Danio rerio: one gene and its partners. The protein of the gene in region 3 interacts with the protein of the main gene of each other region in a pairwise test. Links are inferred from orthologs where the notes say so. Each region holds a gene or a part of one and is shown on either strand. Other genes may lie near its edges. The genes, in order: pts, gas7a, ntaq1, nudt14 and gmds.

Region 1 (4,089 bases), on a different chromosome or scaffold from region 3:
CAGGGCCATGTACAGGGGGGTGGTCCTCACTTTGTGAACACATATAATAATGTTGATCTTAAAATGGTGTTAAAAATATGAATAACTGCTTTTATTCTAGCCGAAATAAAACAAATAAGACTCTCCTGAAGAACAAATATTATCAGACATACTGTGAACATCTTCTGAATATGTTCAATATCATTTGGGAAATATATATATATATATATATATATATATATATATATATATATATATATATATATATATATATATAATATATATATATATAATATATATAATATATATAATATATAAATAATATATATATATATATATATATATATATATATATATATATATATATATAATATATATATATATATATATATATATATATATATATATATATTTTTTTTTTTTTTTTTTTTTCATTATTAAATTTAACCTGCAGTTTTAAAATGAAAAATACAATTAAATAATACATTTTGAGGAACATTTTACAAATCACCACAAAGCCAGTCATTTTTAATATTTTTATTAATTGAATAAACCATTTCCCTTGACATTTGGTTTGTTAATATTTGTCTGAGATATGATTATTTCAAGATATATGGAATCCGAGGGTTAAAAAAAATCTAAATGTTGATCAAATCAACTTCATGATTGAACAAATGAAGCTCTTAGGAATGCATATTAGTAATGAAAAGTAAGTTTAGGTGTTTTTATGGTAGATAATGGAAGAAAACAAAGCATATAGCTGTCATCTGATGTATTCTGTGGAAACTGTTATAGAAATGTAAAATGCTTCATAATTAATTAAACATTATAAACAAATTGATCAAAAGTGATAGTAAAGACGTGTACACTATTTATCTATTCTCTTTTTTATATTGTTATATTTCACTTCACTAAATTATCAAGCAAAATTAAAACTCTTCTTGATTGTATAATAATTAAACACCAATACCTGTTCTTTTAGAGAGATTTCTGAGCTGATGCTGCTGAAAATACAGATTTAATGCTATTTTCTCATATATATTTAAATAGATCTTCATTTACAGAACATTACAGAGCTAAATATTGCTGATCAAGTAAATAAATGCATGATCAATAAACACACACACACACACGTATATGCATGTAAAACTGAATAATAACACTTTTGTCTGATCAGAGTGTGAGAAATGCAGAAAACACATGACGCTCGTGCACGTGGGGAGTGCTGACGTCACGGTATAATCGATTATGAGCTGCATATGAGGGGAGGATCCGCGAAGCCCCGCCTCCACTGAGCACAAATCATCAGAAATCATATATATAGATAGAAATATATATTCATATCTCGTGTTCAGTCGTAGATCTGCTGATAGAGGAGAGGAGGAGGATGAGTGAACGCGTCGCCTTCATCACGCGCGTCTGCAGCTTCAGCGCCTGCCACAGACTACACAGGTAATTAACTAACTAATCAATTAATTAACTAAATAACTAATCAGTAACTAGCCACCTGTAAACGGTCACTGAGGGATATTTTCAGCTGTAACGCTTTATATCTGCACGCTTTTGTCCGGCGCGTGCATGTGTGTGCGCGCGCTGTTTTTACTAATCTTATTCTTTGTATTTTCATGCTAACACACTTTCATGAGCACAACGTGAAATGTCGTACAACAGTTTTGCGTAAATTCGTTGATAATATTTCTACAAGCAGTCTGGATTGCGAAAAGTACTTGTTGCAGGAAGTCAGAAACACGCCTGCGTCAACAGGGAGGAATTCTGGGAAGTGTAGTTTAACGTGACCACGCGTAACAGTGATTTTCTTTCACTTTATTTCATCCTCTTTGATTAAACCTTCAAATAACAAACAAACTCTCATCTTCCATTGTTAAACATGTATTTACACACTACTGTATATCCAAGCAGCATATAATAAACTAAATAGTGCAATAAATAAAACATCGAATAATACTATAATGTAATTTACATTTCAGTAGGGGGTTAAGGCACTATTTTCTCTTTAAATGTGTCAAGGATTGAAATAAAAGTCAGAAATTATTTTTTAAATGTTGGAAACAAGGAGAAACTTTAACAAATCTAAACACTGAATTTACTAAAACATGATCTTTGTTACTGCTTATTTTTAGTCATTGATTTATTATTATTATTATTATTTTTATTATTATTATTATTATTATTATTATTATTAGCCCTATGAAATTATTTTTTTTTTTTTCATATATTTTGCAAGTGATCTTTAACAGATCATGTCGGTTTTCAGAGTATTTCCTATGTTTAGTTTGGCTGGAATGTGATGCATTGCTGTTGTTGTTGTTGTTGTTGTTGTTGTTGTTGTTGTTGTTGTTAATGCATTTATTGGATGTATTTCAGTAAATGTTTGAGTGATGAGGAGAATAAGAGAACGTTTGGGAAATGCAACAATCCTAATGGTCATGGCCATAACTATACAGGCGAGTTATTAAATATGTGCTATTAATTATGATCGCATTATCAGTGTCTCTCTTATGTCGTGCAAGAGCTCAAGTAAATCTCTTCATATGCTTCATTTCTGTTCTAGTTGAAGTGACGGTGCGTGGAAAGGTATGGCAGAACTGTCTATAAGCATATATGCAGTGCTCTGTGCTATAGTATTGTAAATGCACACGACTGTATTTCTGTTTTCATAGATCGACAAGAACACAGGAATGGTGATGAACCTCACTGATCTGAAGGAGTTTATTGAGGTACAGCCATCAGTTAATAATTAATATATTGATAAATGCTGTACAGGTCTTGTTCATTCTTATGTCATGTAATCGCATTAACTAATGAAACCTTAATGCAAAGTGTGACTGGAGAATTTTTTGCATGTAATCTACTGCTTATTAAATTTTAAATATAATTGTATACATACATACATATATATATATATATATATATATATATATATATATATATATATATATATATATATATATATATACACACTGTATAGAAAAATATACTTTTTAGAAGGGAAAATAGAATGTTTTTAAATGAAATGAGTCTTTTTTTTTTACACGTAACATATTTATTAATTAACAAATTATACCATGAATTGATTTTTGGCTATCAAAATAATAAGCATATTGAATCTATTTAATAAATTAAATGTAATAATAGTACTATTATTAATATTAACTATTATTAATATTACTATTATCAATAACTAATTCATAAAGGGTGACATGGTGGCTCAGTGGTTAGCACTGTGGCCTCACAGCAAGAAGGTCTCTGGTTTGAGTCTCGGCTGGGTCAGTTGGTGTTTCTGTGTGGAGTTTGCATGTTCTCCCCGTGTTGGTGTGGGTTTCCTCCGGGTGCTCCGGTTTCCCCCACAGTCTAAACACATGCGCTATAGGGGAACTGATCAACTAAACTGGCCGTTGTGTGTGTGTGTGTGTGTGTGTGTGTGTGTGTGTGTGTGTGTGTGTGTGTGTGTGTGTGTGTGTGTGTGTGTGTGTGTGTGTGTGTGTGTGTAAGTGTGTGTGTGAAAATGAGAATGAGAGTGTATGGGTGTTTCCCAGTGCTGGGTTGCAGCTGGAAGGGCATTTGCTGTGTAAAACATGTGCTGGAATAGTTGGTGGTTCATTCCGCTGTGGCGACTTCTGATTAATAAAGGGACTAAGCCAAAGGAAAATGAATAAATGAATGATTACCTATAATCAGGTATAGCAATAATGAGTGTGTATGGGTGTTTCCCAGTGCTGGGTTTATTTATACTAAAATAAATAATTAATAAAAATATTAATTAAATGTCAATAATGTGTTTAGGAGGCCGTCATGAAGCCTCTTGACCATAAAAACCTGGACCTGGATGTGCCGTATTTTGCAGATGTTGTCAGGTATGAATCTGCCCTGTGTGTGTGTTTGTGTGTTTGTGTGTGTGTGAGTGATTGATCAGAGACTCTGATGTTTGTTTGTGTCCCGCAGCACCACAGAGAACCTGTCAGTGTTCATCTGGGACGGCCTGCAGAAGCTGCTGCCTCACGACAGCCTGTACGAGATCAAAGTCTACGAGACGGCCAAAAACATCGTGATCTACAGAGGAGAATAGACTCAATTTTGTGTGTGTGTGTG
Region 2 (3,516 bases), on a different chromosome or scaffold from region 3:
GTGAGCTTTCAAACTTTTGGCTGCTAGGTTCAACTTATTCAAAAAAATTAATTACTTAATTCTTATTAATAGGATCCAAAAATTAGTATTTTAAGCTCCTTTTATAGATTATGTGCTAAATACACATACACTCAAAAAATGATATGTTGGCTTTAATTAACTTTTTTATGTCAACAGGTTCCACATAACCGAGTTAAGTTACCCTAAAGAAAGAATATTTATTTGAGTAAACTTAAGTTAGTTACCTAAAAGTAATGTAATGTTGTTTAGTTCAATCAACACAACATTTATAATTTAGCTTTAATTTAATTTTTTTACACTGTTAAAAAAAAAAATCTGTTAAAATTACAAAATATCCCGGCAGTGGTTGACAGGAAATTTCTGTAAAAATACGGAAGTTTTATAGGACTGTTTAAATTTACAAAAAATAACCTTATTTTATCAACTGATATAATGTTCGTTCACAAAAACCTAGTTTAGCTCATAAAAACGTAAAGTCATTTAATGCACTAATGTGTTCATGTGTGTACAATTAGCAAACAGATCTTCACTGCCTTAGTAACTACACAGTTACCCACAGTTACCTATCAGCTATCCTTAGTTAATTTTGAACTTGCACACAGATGCTACTATCCTCCACAATGGTGATATGAATTTGTCGACCCCTGGGGGTTAACTAACTATTATTCCTATCCATCCCACACGACCTTTCCCCTTAGCTGTACCCCACCCTTGACCCTTAACAAAGTCTTAAAAAAAAACCTCCAGCCCAAGGCTGCACCTTGAAATTCTGTCCATAAAAATTATTAGCAGAATTGGTGACAAGGGGCAGCCCTGCCGGAGTCCAACATGCACTGGAAACAAATCTGACTTATTCCCGGCAATGTGAACCAGACTCCTACTCTGTTCATACAGGGACGAGACATCCATTAACAAATCGCCTCTGACCCCATACTCCCCGAGCACCCTCAACAGAATGCCGCGAGAGACACTATCGAATGCCTTCTCCAAATCCACAAAACACATGTGGACTGGTTGAGCATACTCCCATGAACCCTCGAGCACCCTGGTGAGGGTATTGAGCTGGTCCAGTGTACCACAGCCCTGACGAAAACCGCAATTTTCCTCCTGGATCCTAGATTCAACCATTGGCCGGATCCTCCTCTCCAGTACCCTGGCATAGACTTTCCCCGGGAGGCTGAGGAGTGTGATCCCCCTATAGTTGGAGCACACCCTCTGGTCCCCCTTCTTAAAAATGGGAACCACCACCCCAGTTGCCCAGTCCAAAGGTACTGTCCCCGACCTCCATAAATGCTGTAAAGACGTGTCAGCAACGACAGCCCCACAACATCCAGAGACCTAAGAGACACAGGGTGAATCTCATCCACCCCCGCTGCTTTGCCACTGCGGAGCTTGCAAACCACCTTGGGTGATGGGCAAGTCCACCCCTGCATCCCCAGTCTCTGCTTCCTTGATGAAACACATATTGGTGGGGTTAAGAAGATCCTCAAAGTATTCCTTCCACGGCCCGACAACATCCCCAGTTGATGTCAACAGCTCCCCACTTCCGCTGTAAACAGCATCAATGTGGAGATGCTTTCCCCCCAACCAAGCCCTGTAGGACTCCTTTTTCAGCTTGACGGCATCCCTTACTTCAATTGTCCACCACTGGCTTCGTGGATTGCCGCCCCGACAGGCACCACAGACCTTACGACCACAGCTCCTCACGGCCGCATTAACAATAGAGTCGGAGAACATGGACCACTCAGTCTCCATGTCTCCAGCCTCCCTCGGGATCTAGTCAAAGCTCTTCCGGAGGTGAGAATAAACAATCCCTCTGACTTGGGGTTCAGCAAGACGTTACCAGAGGACCCTCACAATACGCTTGGGCCTACCAGATCTGTCCAGCTTTCCCCCTTGCCAGCGGATCCAACTCACTACCAGGTGATGATCAGTTGACAGCTCTGCCCCTCTCTTCACCCGAGTGTCTAATACATACGGTCGGAGATCAGACGATACAACCACAAAGTCGATCATTGACCTCCGCCCTAGGGTGTCCTGGTGCCATGTGCACTGATGGATACCCTTATGCTTGAACATGGTGTCTGTTATAGACAAACTGTGATTAGCACAGAAGTCCAATAACAAAACACCACGTCTCTCCAGGTATCACTGTCATTACCCACGTGGGCATTAAAGTCCCCCAGTGGAACAATGGAGTCCTCAGTCTGGGCACCTCCCAAGGACTCCAAGAAGGCCGAGTACTCTGCACTGGTGTTTGACCCGTAGGCACATACCACAGTGAGAGACCTATACCCGACCCGAAGGCACAGGGAGGCGACCCTCTCGTTCACAGGGGAAAACGCCAACACATGGCGGCTAAGTTGGGGAGCCATAAGCAAGCCCACACCATCCCGCCGCCTCTTGCCGTGAGCAACTCCAGGATAGAAGAAAGTCAAGCCATTCTCAAGAAGTTGAGTTCCAGAGCCCAAGCTATGTGTGGAGGTGAGCCCTAGTCAGTATCGTTCCACCTCCCGCACAAGCTCGGGCTCCTTCCCTCCCAGTGAGGTGACATTCCATGTCCGAAGAGCAAGTTTCTGTGCCTGACAATCGGGTTGTCGTGTTCCTAACCTTCGACCACCACCCATTCCACAATGCACTGCCCCCTTACGGCTCCCTCCTGCAGGTGGTGAGCCTGCGGGAGGATGGTAAAACAGTAGTTGTGTATTTAAATATATTTGAAACTGCTGCTACGACATTAGTAATTAACACAATTAAGCACACTTCTTTTTCGCAGGGGTTTAATCAAGACATCCAGAGAGACTGTACCTTCTCCACTGCAGCGTATCGGCTGACCAGCTGCTTTCTCAGGTCAGCAATGTGGTGGTCATATTTCTTCATGTCTTTTTTAAAGTTGTCTCCTCTGAAAGTTAATAAAGGCTTCTCCACTTCACTCTGGAGCTGGAGGCAAAAAATAATAATCTAAATCAGTCACACAGCTACAGTACATGGCATGTCTAGATACAAACATAGCGAAGTGTCTGAAATAAACCATGGGGTTTCTCCAAAACGTCATTTACTTCATTTGGATGCTCAAAATTGTCATGTTAGTAATAATGATGTTTTTTTTTTTTTTTTTTTTAAGAAAGAGGCTTTTTGTATTGCCATCTTAGTAAATCATACATGATCTGAGAGAATAATACTGCAGAATCACTTCCATCTATCTGCAATTAATCACCCACACTTGTGCTAAATGGAGCACACTAGTGTGAACAGTGGTGAAAATAGACAAATGACAGCAGACTGAAGAAAGCAGTGTAGTTCATTACAAACAGGTGGCTTATAACATCTCTTAGGGAAAGCTATTGAGTGCAGAAAAAAAATAAAGGCCAGATATCCTCCATCTTCTCTGACAGTGCACAACAATGACAATGCACAATGAGCTGTTTGTTTCTCAGCTGGTTCTCACTACACATCACTTCTATTAAGAAATGTCAAAGAGATAATTGAAAACTG
Region 3 (4,297 bases):
GCTTAAAAACTACAGCACTACAACTGCTTACACAGTTTCGCATTTCGGTTTGGTTGTTTGTTTAAATTCTGCATTTTTATTATCTGTACATCTGTGTAACTGATTTCTTTATAAAAATAATACACATCCTCGACAAATGACAACAATGGCTTTCTTTTCTGTGACCTTTCTACCTGACTATAATTAAGCCACATTGCCAACTGTTCAATTAGTAAAAATAATTTCAGAGTCAATAAATGTGTCTTTTGAGGCCTGCTTAGTTGCAGCATTCTCCATCATAATAGGATCTTTCCCTGAGGCTCTGTTTATGTACATTTTTCAACAACAACAACAAAAAATGTGCTGGAAAAAAAGCATTACTTTACTCCAAAGTGTTTAACAAAGTCTGAAAGGCTGTAAACCTCTCCATATCCCACTCGGGGATCCATGCAGATGAAGTCATCAAGATTCATTTTGGATTCTGAAAAGGACACGTTATACATGAAAGTGGAAGAAGAAATCAAATTATAGTATTTACTGTATATAAATCTGCAATAGAAAACAAACCTGGTGTCTCTAAACATGGATATGCTGGAGGTGGCATACGCCAATTCCCATCGGAGTCCTTCATATGAGACCGATCAGAAGCAAACTCCTTCAAATAAGTGTCCCCGGGTATGACTCGAAGTTTCCTAAAAGAGCAAACAACACTTTGATTACATTCAACTAAGACTGGCTATTATTATTATAAGGGTCAAAGACATAAAGGAGTTTAAGCATTTGTTAAAAAATATATATATAAAAATAATATTATTTAATGCAAAAGTAAATTAATTGACTATTGTCCATCACCACAATTTACATAAGATGACCTCTAAAATGTAGTTAAGTGTAACAGTAGTTTAAAATACTAAGTTATATTTAAAACAAGAATAATGTGAGGCCATACTAAATGGATAACAATGCAGCCTCAAAATACTAATTCATATTAAAATCTTCATTCAATTTTGTCCTCACATTTTATGATGTGCTTTTCTTTTATAAATTTATTAAGTACTTGTTACACTTATGTTATTTCATCTTTTGTAGAATGCAGATTAGACCAGATAATACTTGCCTCCAGTAAGCAGGTTTCAAATGCTTGTCAGACTGAAAGGCCTCCATTGAATAAACGTCAAGCGAACAAGGAAATGGAAGAATGGTGTCTAAATCGTAAATGAAGCTCGGTCCTTGTTTACTTGCGTGTAGAAGAATAACATGGTAATCCTAAATGGAAAACAACATTTTTATATCAATTAGAGACTACCATAAAATATGCATAGTTTTTATACATATAAAGTTCCTACCCAAATTACTGGTTCATCCCCTCGACTGGACTTTTGTTTCCAAATAGGTATCTGAAATATTACACAATTTTTAACACACATACATACTATATATACACTCATTGGCCCCTTTTGTTTGGCACACCTTACTAGTACCGGGTTGGACCCTCTTTTGTCTTTAGAACTGCCTTAATCCTTTGTGGCATAGATTCAACAAGGTACTGGAAATATTCCTCAAGAGATTTTGGTTCATATTCACATGATAGCATTACACAGTTGCTGTGGATTTGTTGGCTGCACATCCGTGATGCGATTCTCTCATTCCACCACATCCCAAAGGTGCTCTACTGAATTGAGAGCCGGTGACTGTGGAAGTCATTTGATTACAGAACTTCATGTCATGTTTTACAAACCAGTCTGAGATGATTTGCGTTTTATGACATGGTGCGTTATCCTGCTGGAAGTAGCCATCAGAAGATGGGTACACTGGTCATAAAGGCATGGACATGGCCAGCAACAATACTCAGGTAGGCTGTGGCGTTGACACAATGCTTAATTGGTACTAATGGGCCCAATGTGTGCCAAGAAAATACCCCCCATGCCATTACACTACCACCACCTGAACCGTTGATACAAGGCAGGATGGATTCATGCTTTCATGTTGCTGACGCTAAATTCTTACCCTACCATCCGAATGTTGCAGCAGAAATTGAGACTTATCAGACCAGACAACGCTTTTCCAATCTTCTATTGTTCAATTTTGGTGAGCCAGTGTGAAATGTAGCCTCAGTTTCCTGGTCTTTGCTGACAAGAGTGGCACCCATGTGGTCTTCTGCTGCTGTAGCCCATCTCCTCAAGGTTCGAGGTTCAAAGTTACTGGAATCACCTTTCTTTCCCATTCTTATGCTTGGTTTGAACTGCAGCTGATCGTCTTGACCATGTCTACATGCCTAAATGCATTGAGTTGCTGCCATGTGATTGGCTTATTTTTGCGTTGAGCAGCAGTTGGAAAGCTGTACCTAATAAAGTGACCGGTGACTGTATACGTGTGTGTGTGTGTGTGTGTGTGTGTATATATGTATATATATATATATATATATATATATATATACATATATATATATATATATATATATATATGTATGTGTGTGTGTGTGTGTGTGTGTGTGTGTGTGTATGTATGTATATAACAGAAAACTGTACATTTCATTAAATGTAAAATACTTGTGTGGAGATGAAGCTCACCTTCTTTCTTTCATTAGATATAAATACTGCATACACCTCTTCCAAAGGACAATGTCTCTGATTCTTGATATATTCACACAATTTCCACACATTCTCCTCACTGCAACAAACATTTAAATACGTGTATGAATACGGTACGTTTTAAATTTGAAATAATGTTACAGGTATTATCGCATTTACCAGTAACAGCTGGTGTAAACACATTGGTTTCCGGACGGGGTGATCACTTTATATTCAGACGAAGCGCTTTCTTCATTCATTCTTTCCTTCCTTATATACGTGTATATACAGTAGGTTTACGCGGACTTCCAGTTATAACGACATGACAAAAGAATACATGTGTATAATGATACCATAGATATTTACATTAATATTACAATGAAGCGATTCGCGTTGCAACCGCACTGTTGCTTGTTACAATGTATCTTGTCCGTAAGGAACTTCAGGGGATTTGTCGTTCCGGCGAGACAGGTGATGCGCGAACATTCACTCCTTATGTGAATTGCAAATGTAGCACTTGCACGATTATCAGCATAAATATTAAACAGTCTAACTTTCATAAAGCATAAGTAGAAAACACGTTAGCGAAAGATAACGTGCAGTTAGGCATCGTTCTCAACTCAATACAATTAGCCAATGTATTGGTTTCTAATTTCAGAGTATCTGATTGTATTTTGTTGCACGTTAATTCGTTTTTTGCCACATACTTGTATAAATGTTTGTGGATATCTATAAATTTTTTTTGTGAACTATATTTTGTTTTAAACTGAAAATGTGTTTCTGTTTCTAATGCATGTTTATCTCAAACCCTTTCATTTCTCTATACATGTTCACTCATTATAGAGTCCTGACAATATGTTTCAAACTATCAGTCCATTCAAATTGTCTACCAAAACCACAGTATGAGTTAATATTAAGGAGGTTAGCACATAGTCTAAATGAATAACTATGTAGTCTTGTCAAAAGTTGTCTTGGTTCACACTTGCTTTGGTCATAAAAAGCCACAAAATGTTCTAAATATATATGCGTACAAGATGTCTTTTGTAAAATAAGGTAAATATTTTTTTGGATTAAATATATCACATTCTGAGAGATGTATTTATTTACTTGTACAACTGTTTTATTACACTTTTTATTGTTTTCATAGGCTAAATCCCCATTTCTGAGCCACAAATAAACAGCTCTTTACACTTTTACCGTTTAAGAATCCACTATTTGCTAACGTGTTTGTTTAAAATGAAATTTGATAACATTCAAATACTTATGATGTTATAAAGTAAGCTAAACCAACAAATATTAACCATATTCTTTTAACAAGATGTATAGGGCCACCTATGTTTTGAGGTGTAGCCATCAGAAAAAGCCCACCATTAACACCTCGTTTTTAGGAATGTCTTTTACTAATGATCTCATTAGCACTTGTGGACCCACTGATTTGAGAGCTGGTGAACTGGAAAAACCACGAATAAAATAGTTGAAATTGCACTTTATTTTTGTTACTTTTTAATAAAATGATCTTTCTTTCTATTTGACTGTAATGCTTTGTGTACTTAACATAGTGTAAACATAGACACTTTTCTTATGCAAAAAAATAATAAAAAATGCACAACCAATTTCACTTAACATTAGTAACACCAAATAGTGAAGAATACACCCTACTTGCATTTTACTTGCTTAATATAAAACCACTTTTGTTATTTTTATGTGGGTGCCAAAATTTTAAGCTATTTCTCTTCGTTAAATAAACT
Region 4 (4,137 bases), on a different chromosome or scaffold from region 3:
TGATGTCATTTCTGAGTGTGAAAGCTGTATTCGCAGAAAAAAATTGTTACCCTACATATAGAGGTGACAGTTTTGCACTTTCAGTGCTTGTAAAGAAAAGGTAACTCACAAACATCCCCAGCTCTCAAGACACTGTTGTAAACAGTTTAAACATACAGCTGAACCATTTTAAGTGTCCTTCAGAGTTGCTACCTCATATGTCACTGTTTACTAAGGCTTAACTATTGAAGGAAAAGAATAAGTAAAGATGTCTCAAGGAAGAGGGGATAAGCTTCTTCAGCTGGTTTGTATGAGACGTTAGCAAAAGCATAAGGTCAGATAAGAAACCTGCACCCATCCTGATGCTTACAGCTTACCTTTGGGATTCTTAAAACATCAGTGTCAAATATATTCTTCTGTTTTCTCTAAACTACATTGAAACCATATGTTTAGATGGTTCCTCGTAGATCACAAATGCTTTAAGGGAATCAGATAAGCATAAAGATTTACTTTGCAATCGTGGAGTGAAAGACAGAAAATGAGGATGAAACATGTAAGTTGCAAGACAGAAAGGCTGAGTTTTGAATGGAATGTACTGCAAAGTATAAAAGTAGTATGATTTTTGCATTTTGGTGCATTTTTTCTATATAGTACTGAAACAGCAAAGATTAAGTTTGTCATGCTAGGAATAGGATGTGTGTGAATTAAACCACGTGTGGATGTGAACTAATTCCGCTTTATTGTGCTTATATGAACACACAGACAGACAGTATATTCACTTTAAGGCCACATTTTATCAATGTTAGAAGAGCTAAATCGATTATTTTTCGGATCAGTTGTCATTTTATCTACAATAACACAAGATGATACATTTATCCTAGAAGAAGATGCTGGGTAAAATTAATAATTCACTAGCCCTGAAAGTCTCTGTAAAGATTTACAGAAAGTTACTAAATGTAGGGCTTTTGGCGGTTTATTTACAAAATCGCGCGCTCCCTGAAGTTGGCGCTAAATCTGAGGTTCAGTCAGCACGAGTCAAGCACACCTGCATTCGCGCGTCAGGCGCGCGCGCTGTAAAGCTTGAAAGAGGACGTGCTGAGGCGACAGAGTCCGTCATTTAACCTTAAATCAAATGAGAAAGCGAATGACCTCATCCACCCGCAACTAACGCTGACTGGCGGTTTTCTGCGCCGCAGCCCACAGAGTCATCTCTGTAGAACATTACTACAACGCAAAGACGAACAGCGCTCTTATTCTGTCCTTCCCAGGCTTCCGTAGACGTTTCCCTCATTCTCCAGTAGTCTGCGGCTCTGCCATCTGTGGTGAGAAGTACCCGTGGGCAGCTTTGTCAAAGCCATGGAGCAGATCAATAACATTCAGGTGGTTCCGTGCACCAGCTCGAACTATTTGAGACCGTTTAGGGTGCATTATAACCAGGTGAGTCGCTATAGTTTCATCGCACGTTATCATCTGTCAGTGATGCGGTCACACCTCATCATTTTGCTGTCAGCAGCCCAACCCCCATTCATTCTGTCATTGCTTTTATCGACCAACATTGCGTCTGATGTTTCACCATGACTATAACATCAGGATGACAAACGATGTATTGAAAAGAATATGTTGCTGATATCGTGTTTTGTGATCTTAGCTTAACTAGCAAGATGCTATTTAGCTATAGACAGGAAGGCAGTCACTTTCCCTCGAGCACATGCTTTACATTAAAACCAGCACAGCTGCCATACAAAGGCTTTATTAAAAGCCTGATGCACACAATATTGCACAGCTACTGCTGCAAAGTAATGATATACTATCCTGATATATACATGCTAGTGGACAAGCTAAGTTATTATCTATCTATCTATCTATCTATCTATCTATCTATCTATCTATCTATCTATCTATCTATCTATCTATCTATCTATCTAATAACCAAAAATAGTAATTCTATATGTGATTTTAGTACTTCATCCGCTTAACCCTTTATATGGCTCTTATTGAAATATTGAAAAAACACAAGTATTATTGGGGGTTATTACAAGGCTTTTTAACTTTTATATATATATAATTATTATCATGATAATTTTAAGTTCACTTCAATTTTGTTTATTTTCTATTAAATATTAGCTAAAAGTTTTGGCTTGTGGGACAGTGACAGTCAAATATAGTATTTAGCTGTATTTATGACAGTTCATTTACAAAATATGCTCATGGAACATGATCTCTACATAATCTAATGACGTCTGGCTTAAAAAAAGTCTGAAATTTTTACCCATACAGTGTATTTTTGGCCATACAGTATATGCTGTCTATTTATTTCATAGTCTTGTTCAAATTGTTTAATGCACAGGTAGGTCTAGTGAGTCATTTTTGATCAATGTTTAAAATTCATGCACTAGCCTCTAACATATTTTAGGAACCATAGTAAATTGGTTACAATGACAGTTGCTATGCTGCTTGTTGCTTATACACGGACACTGGAATGCTCAAAAGCCATGTCTATCATTAAACAAGCTGAATGTAAGTTTTTGACTCCTCTTAAGCATAAGTTGGCCAATATTTTAGAAACATGCCGAGGTAACACACTTGTTTATATGAAAAACAATACTAAATGTCATTTATTCTGCATTGTAAAATTGCAGAATGTGCTTTTGGCCTCTATAACTTGCCCTCTGCCAGTTTAACTTTAGCACCGATATTTGACTCATATTTGTTGGTTTTCACTGAGATGCAGTTCTAACATTTATTTTAAAGCTATTTTAAAGTTATATGTTTATTTTTAATTTTAAAATTTAAGGTAAACTATATGGCTTTTTCATTATGGATATACATGTCATATAAAATGGCATTTAAACTCACACTGGTAGCATTAACATTAAATAAAGCAAATTATCAGTACCAGAGGTGATCATTGTCATGGTAGTTTTATGGTGTTTATTTTGGCTACGAAGAATAGACCCAGAAACCCTTTGTAGAATAAAAATATCAGGTCATGGGTATTATGAAAACTCCTTTTAACATTGAAAAAGATTCATTTTATCGCATGAAGTCGTCTGTAGTTACAGTGTAGGCCCAATAGTCAGGCACAGTCACTCCTGACTTCAATCTGGTATCCTGCGTCTGGAGGTGGGACAGGGTAAAAAAGTGTTTTGATTTTGGACTACAATACTTGGTTTAACCATTTGGATCCATTTTACATGCTGCACGTTTAATGACATCCTAATCTTAATCTGTAGTGTTTAATATGGAGGTGGACAACCCTGCCCAGCTATAACATCTTCAATTCTTTTTGCAAGATGCTTCACATCTTTATTATACAGTACTTGTGTAAAATATTCGACTAAGGTGAATTGCTCTGGTTTGCGGTAGATGCGTGACACTGATGTAATGATCACTACATGCCCTGGCAGTGACACAGCTTTGGTTTTATATTTAATTTGATTAAATTAGTTATTAAATCGATAAGGTTAGATTAATAAAGTTAGTTAATGCATTATTTAATAATACCATGAACAAAAATTTACTTTATTACAGTATTTATTGATATTTGTTTTCCCAGTAATGGGTTGCTGCTGGAAGCGCATCCGCTGCATAAAACAAATGCTGAATAAGTTGACGGTTCATTCCGCTGTGGAAAGATAAAAAAAAGGTGCTGAAAAGATAATGAATGAATGAATGATTAATATTTTTTAAAGTTTGGTAACTCACAGAGCACTAACAAAACTATTTTAATAATGCGTTAACAAACCTTGCAATTCATTGGTGTATTTTCTTAAAAATGATGTGATTAATTGTGAGTATATAAATTTGCGAGACATATTTCAGCTCTTGTAGTATTTAATATAGCAGAATGTTGCTAAACATTGAACATTTACCATTTCTCAAGGTTTAGTTCAGCATTGTTTGGAGTGCAGCAGCACTGACCAATCAGATGTTTGCAATCATCCCCAAACTAATTTATGTTTTTTTGAGTCATTTGGTAGACCTTAGAATTGCACATTACGTTTTAAAAGTGTTCTTAGTTTATGTCACAGGAGGTTTTGGTGTTGTTTTTGACTTCCACACTTTTTATAAGGTCTTTGCAAGTTGTAAACTGATAAAAAAAAATTACCATCACTTGTATACAAACGCAGTAAACGCATCAGCCCACACAAAAAAAAA
Region 5 (3,039 bases), on a different chromosome or scaffold from region 3:
AAATATAACGGCGCAGGCGCGGTGACTGACTGCAAAACACCTAGTTCAAAAATGGATCCACCCAAATTGGGTTCAAATATGGAATAATCCAACTCTTGAGTTAAATCTGAATCAAAATAAATAAAAAATGTAGCCCAACCTTTGAATTTGTTTGAAACAGTCCAGCATTTTTGAAAAACTTGCAAATCTTTTGTTTTTAGCCTACTGAGTCAGCATTACTAGTCTATGTGTTTAGCCTAATTCAAATACATGAGTAAATAATTAAAACAATGCTTAAAAAAAACATTATAAATTGACTGTTATCACATACTAAATTGCTATGTTTAAAAAACCTATAAAACAAGAGCATCATTCCATCTTCTTATAATGTAATGTAGTATAGTAAAATAGTTTTGAAAAATATATATAGAATTACCAGTGCCAGCACAAATACCACATTATTAAACAACAGAGGTCAAAACCAACACTGAAATGCATTGAAAACACAGTAAAACACACACACACACACACACTTGAAAGAACTTCATATTCTGTATTTGAATCTTAAATAGGAACAGGAGACTTTTTTAAAACGTTTTCAAACCAATTAATGACATTATTTCCATTCAAACAATCACATGAATTAAACGGCATTAGAGAACTTTAAAAAGCTCTACAAACCCTTTATCCCTTATTTATACTTTTTTCCATGATTACAAATAAAAACCACTTTATAAAAATGAATAAAAATCATTTCAACAGAATCAACTAAGTATCCAAACACACAATCATAAATATTAAAGTATTTAAAAATGTAAAAAGGCAACAACCAAGGACCCTAAGAACACAGGGAAAGTGTTATCAGAAGAGAAAATGACAGACGGAGCAACAGAAATGCATTTGAGTGCTTCTTCCATTGGCTACACAAACACAAAACAAGCGCCTCTTTGGCATGCGTGGAGATGAAGGCGTGTGGGTTCAGGCATTTGGGTTGTTCTGCATGAGCTTGATGTCCGCGTCCACCATTTCTTTAACAAGCTCCTGTTGAAACACACAAGCACTGATTATTTCTCAATCTCGAGAGCATTGGAAGTGAAGCGCTTTGATTTCATACAGAAACGCTCACCTCAAATGTTACACGTGGTTTCCAGCCTAGAACCTTAAAGGCTTTGGAACTGTCTCCCTGCAAGTAGTCCTAGAAAAAGAGAGAAAATGAGAGTGAGTGGCGGGGAGAGAGTGAGAGAAAAAAAACAATGACGAAGAAGAAAAAAGGCAAAGGGGTGGTTAAGTTCTTTATTAAGCCGGACCTCCCAACTCTTCTTCTTCTCTTTCTCTCTCTCACACACACACAACCCACACACACAGGTGTCAAGCTCCATGTCTCTGGGGGAAGGTGAGGGCCGAGGCAGGCTATCCATCCAGGACCCCCTCTTTTCCAGCCCTCTCCCAATGCCAGAGCATGATGGATTATGTGACTCTCGTGGCCTAACCCTTTCTGTTCTCCTGCTGGGACGCTAACACACACACACACAAACACACACACACACACACACGCACACGCACACACACACTTGTGCAGCTAGAGGTGCTTCTCAGGGTGGCAGTAAAGGGTTTCGAGGGTGTCCTTGCTGCTGATCTGATTACACAAGAAGCCAGAACACACACACACACACACACATGTGCATTTACAACAGCACTTTTGTGTTTTGACAAATGAGCGCTCTTGTTCCAAGGGCCCATATTTTAATTCTGAACCCTGAGACGTTACAGTCATGGTTCCATTTTAGCTCCAATTAAATCATTTAAATGACATAACCATATTTTAAAGCCTAATTAGCCAAATAGCATTCATTCATCAACATGCGAAATGGCATGCAACCATCATAATCAAGACACGTATTAATGCGGCAGATTAATCATAATTAGTCTTCACTTTTTTGAAAGCTAAATTAGCATCAGCTGCATTTGTCGCCCATCCAAGGCTTCACATGCAAAACTGCGTCCCGACAATGGAAGTAAGCTAGAATGGTATTAATGCGGTGAGGATTGCGTGTGCTGGAGAATCAGTGCTTGTTGCTATTAAATAGAAAGTCAGCAAGTCAAGACATATCAATTGCACAGTGGAAGGTTACAGGAGGATTTTGGTTTCAGACACTGCTTGTTTAAAGTAGTTCTATACATCTGAGGGTTTAAAACAGAAGTCGCACCAGCATAAATAGTAAATAAAATGAAGATAAACAATATAAAAAAGCGATAATCTTCATATGGGTGTATTTTTATTGTGTGTGACTGTGCACTTAACCTAAAGGAATTCAGGACTACTGGAAAGACAGACCTAGACATACGTCAAGCTGTTTTTTTTTTTTTAAGAACTCGCGTCTTGATTACACAAGACTGAAAATACACTACATGCATGTATCATATGCAGTGTATACATAAAACCAATTTAAGCATGCTGTTTTGTATACTATACACACACATATAAACAGGTCAATGGTCCTGTGCTCTATTGTCGGACAGAAGTCAAGAGGTCAAATCCACAAAAGCAGTGTGTCCTGATCCACAAACAAAATATCCATATTGTTCGTAAACATGTACAGTGCTCAGTATGAATAAGTACACCTTATTTTGAAAATGAATATTTTCCTCCATTGCTTAGTGAATATAAGTGATATATTTTGGGTGCATTCAAACAAAACACATTTATTAAACAGATATATTTATTCAAATAATATTTTAACCACATATTCATGTGAAATATTGGGAAAAAAATACAAACTACAACATTTCAACTAAATGTTTTCTAATTTTTGCTTTTCTTGATTTTTCAGCTTTTTTCAAATTTGCATTAAATATTTTTAATATTTTTCTATAAATTTGGGTGTACTAGTTTTTAGACTATTATCGCAAGTTATTTTGTTAAATAAACTCCAGATTTGGCTTCAGTACTGACTAATCTAATGTATATGCAGAAATATAATATTGTAAAGCTTCCTATTAAAAATATGAATTCAAAAGACAGATTTGTGAGGGGTGGACTTATATATGCTGAGCACTGTA

Evidence for each region.
Region 1: the proteins of ntaq1 (region 3) and pts interact in binary tests that used the Homo sapiens proteins (3 or more experiments, as listed by UniProt). The two-hybrid records come from large-scale screens. The link is inferred for Danio rerio from reciprocal best matches to the Homo sapiens genes NTAQ1 and PTS.
Region 2: the proteins of ntaq1 (region 3) and gas7a interact in binary tests that used the Homo sapiens proteins (3 or more experiments, as listed by UniProt). The two-hybrid records come from large-scale screens. The link is inferred for Danio rerio from reciprocal best matches to the Homo sapiens genes NTAQ1 and GAS7.
Region 4: the proteins of ntaq1 (region 3) and nudt14 interact in binary tests that used the Homo sapiens proteins (3 or more experiments, as listed by UniProt). The two-hybrid records come from large-scale screens. The link is inferred for Danio rerio from reciprocal best matches to the Homo sapiens genes NTAQ1 and NUDT14.
Region 5: the proteins of ntaq1 (region 3) and gmds interact in binary tests that used the Homo sapiens proteins (3 or more experiments, as listed by UniProt). The two-hybrid records come from large-scale screens. The link is inferred for Danio rerio from reciprocal best matches to the Homo sapiens genes NTAQ1 and GMDS.

Annotation. Positions count from the first base shown.
Region 1 is NC_133187.1:498,394-502,482, reverse strand, and holds the start of pts (6-pyruvoyl tetrahydrobiopterin synthase), read left to right. Parts: upstream 1-1,273; 5' UTR 1,274-1,366; coding exon 1,367-1,431; intron 1,432-2,364; coding exon 2,365-2,444; intron 2,445-2,551; coding exon 2,552-2,574; intron 2,575-2,660; coding exon 2,661-2,717; intron 2,718-3,783; coding exon 3,784-3,854; intron 3,855-3,942; coding exon 3,943-4,066; 3' UTR 4,067-4,089. UniProt on the Homo sapiens protein: Involved in the biosynthesis of tetrahydrobiopterin, an essential cofactor of aromatic amino acid hydroxylases. Catalyzes the transformation of 7,8-dihydroneopterin triphosphate into 6-pyruvoyl tetrahydropterin.
Region 2 is NC_133178.1:51,516,336-51,519,851, reverse strand, and holds part of gas7a (growth arrest-specific protein 7a), read right to left. Parts: intron 2,962-3,516; coding exon 2,830-2,961; intron 1-2,829. UniProt on the Homo sapiens protein: May play a role in promoting maturation and morphological differentiation of cerebellar neurons.
Region 3 is NC_133194.1:37,454,429-37,458,725, reverse strand, and holds ntaq1 (protein N-terminal glutamine amidohydrolase), read right to left. Parts: upstream 2,810-4,297; coding exon 2,730-2,809; intron 2,650-2,729; coding exon 2,550-2,649; intron 1,377-2,549; coding exon 1,326-1,376; intron 1,246-1,325; coding exon 1,097-1,245; intron 672-1,096; coding exon 547-671; intron 461-546; coding exon 357-460; 3' UTR 341-356; downstream 1-340. Other genes in the region: psma2b (proteasome_alpha_type_2 domain-containing protein), read left to right, coding at 1-6. UniProt on the Homo sapiens protein: Mediates the side-chain deamidation of N-terminal glutamine residues to glutamate, an important step in N-end rule pathway of protein degradation.
Region 4 is NC_133195.1:23,812,505-23,816,641, forward strand, and holds the start of nudt14 (uridine diphosphate glucose pyrophosphatase NUDT14), read left to right. Parts: upstream 1-1,335; coding exon 1,336-1,416; intron 1,417-4,137. UniProt on the Homo sapiens protein: Hydrolyzes UDP-glucose to glucose 1-phosphate and UMP and ADP-ribose to ribose 5-phosphate and AMP. The physiological substrate is probably UDP-glucose. Poor activity on other substrates such as ADP-glucose, CDP-glucose, GDP-glucose and GDP-mannose.
Region 5 is NC_133195.1:29,424,503-29,427,541, forward strand, and holds the end of gmds (GDP-mannose 4,6 dehydratase), read right to left. Parts: intron 1,175-3,039; coding exon 1,106-1,174; intron 1,021-1,105; coding exon 958-1,020; 3' UTR 513-957; downstream 1-512. UniProt on the Homo sapiens protein: Catalyzes the conversion of GDP-D-mannose to GDP-4-dehydro-6-deoxy-D-mannose.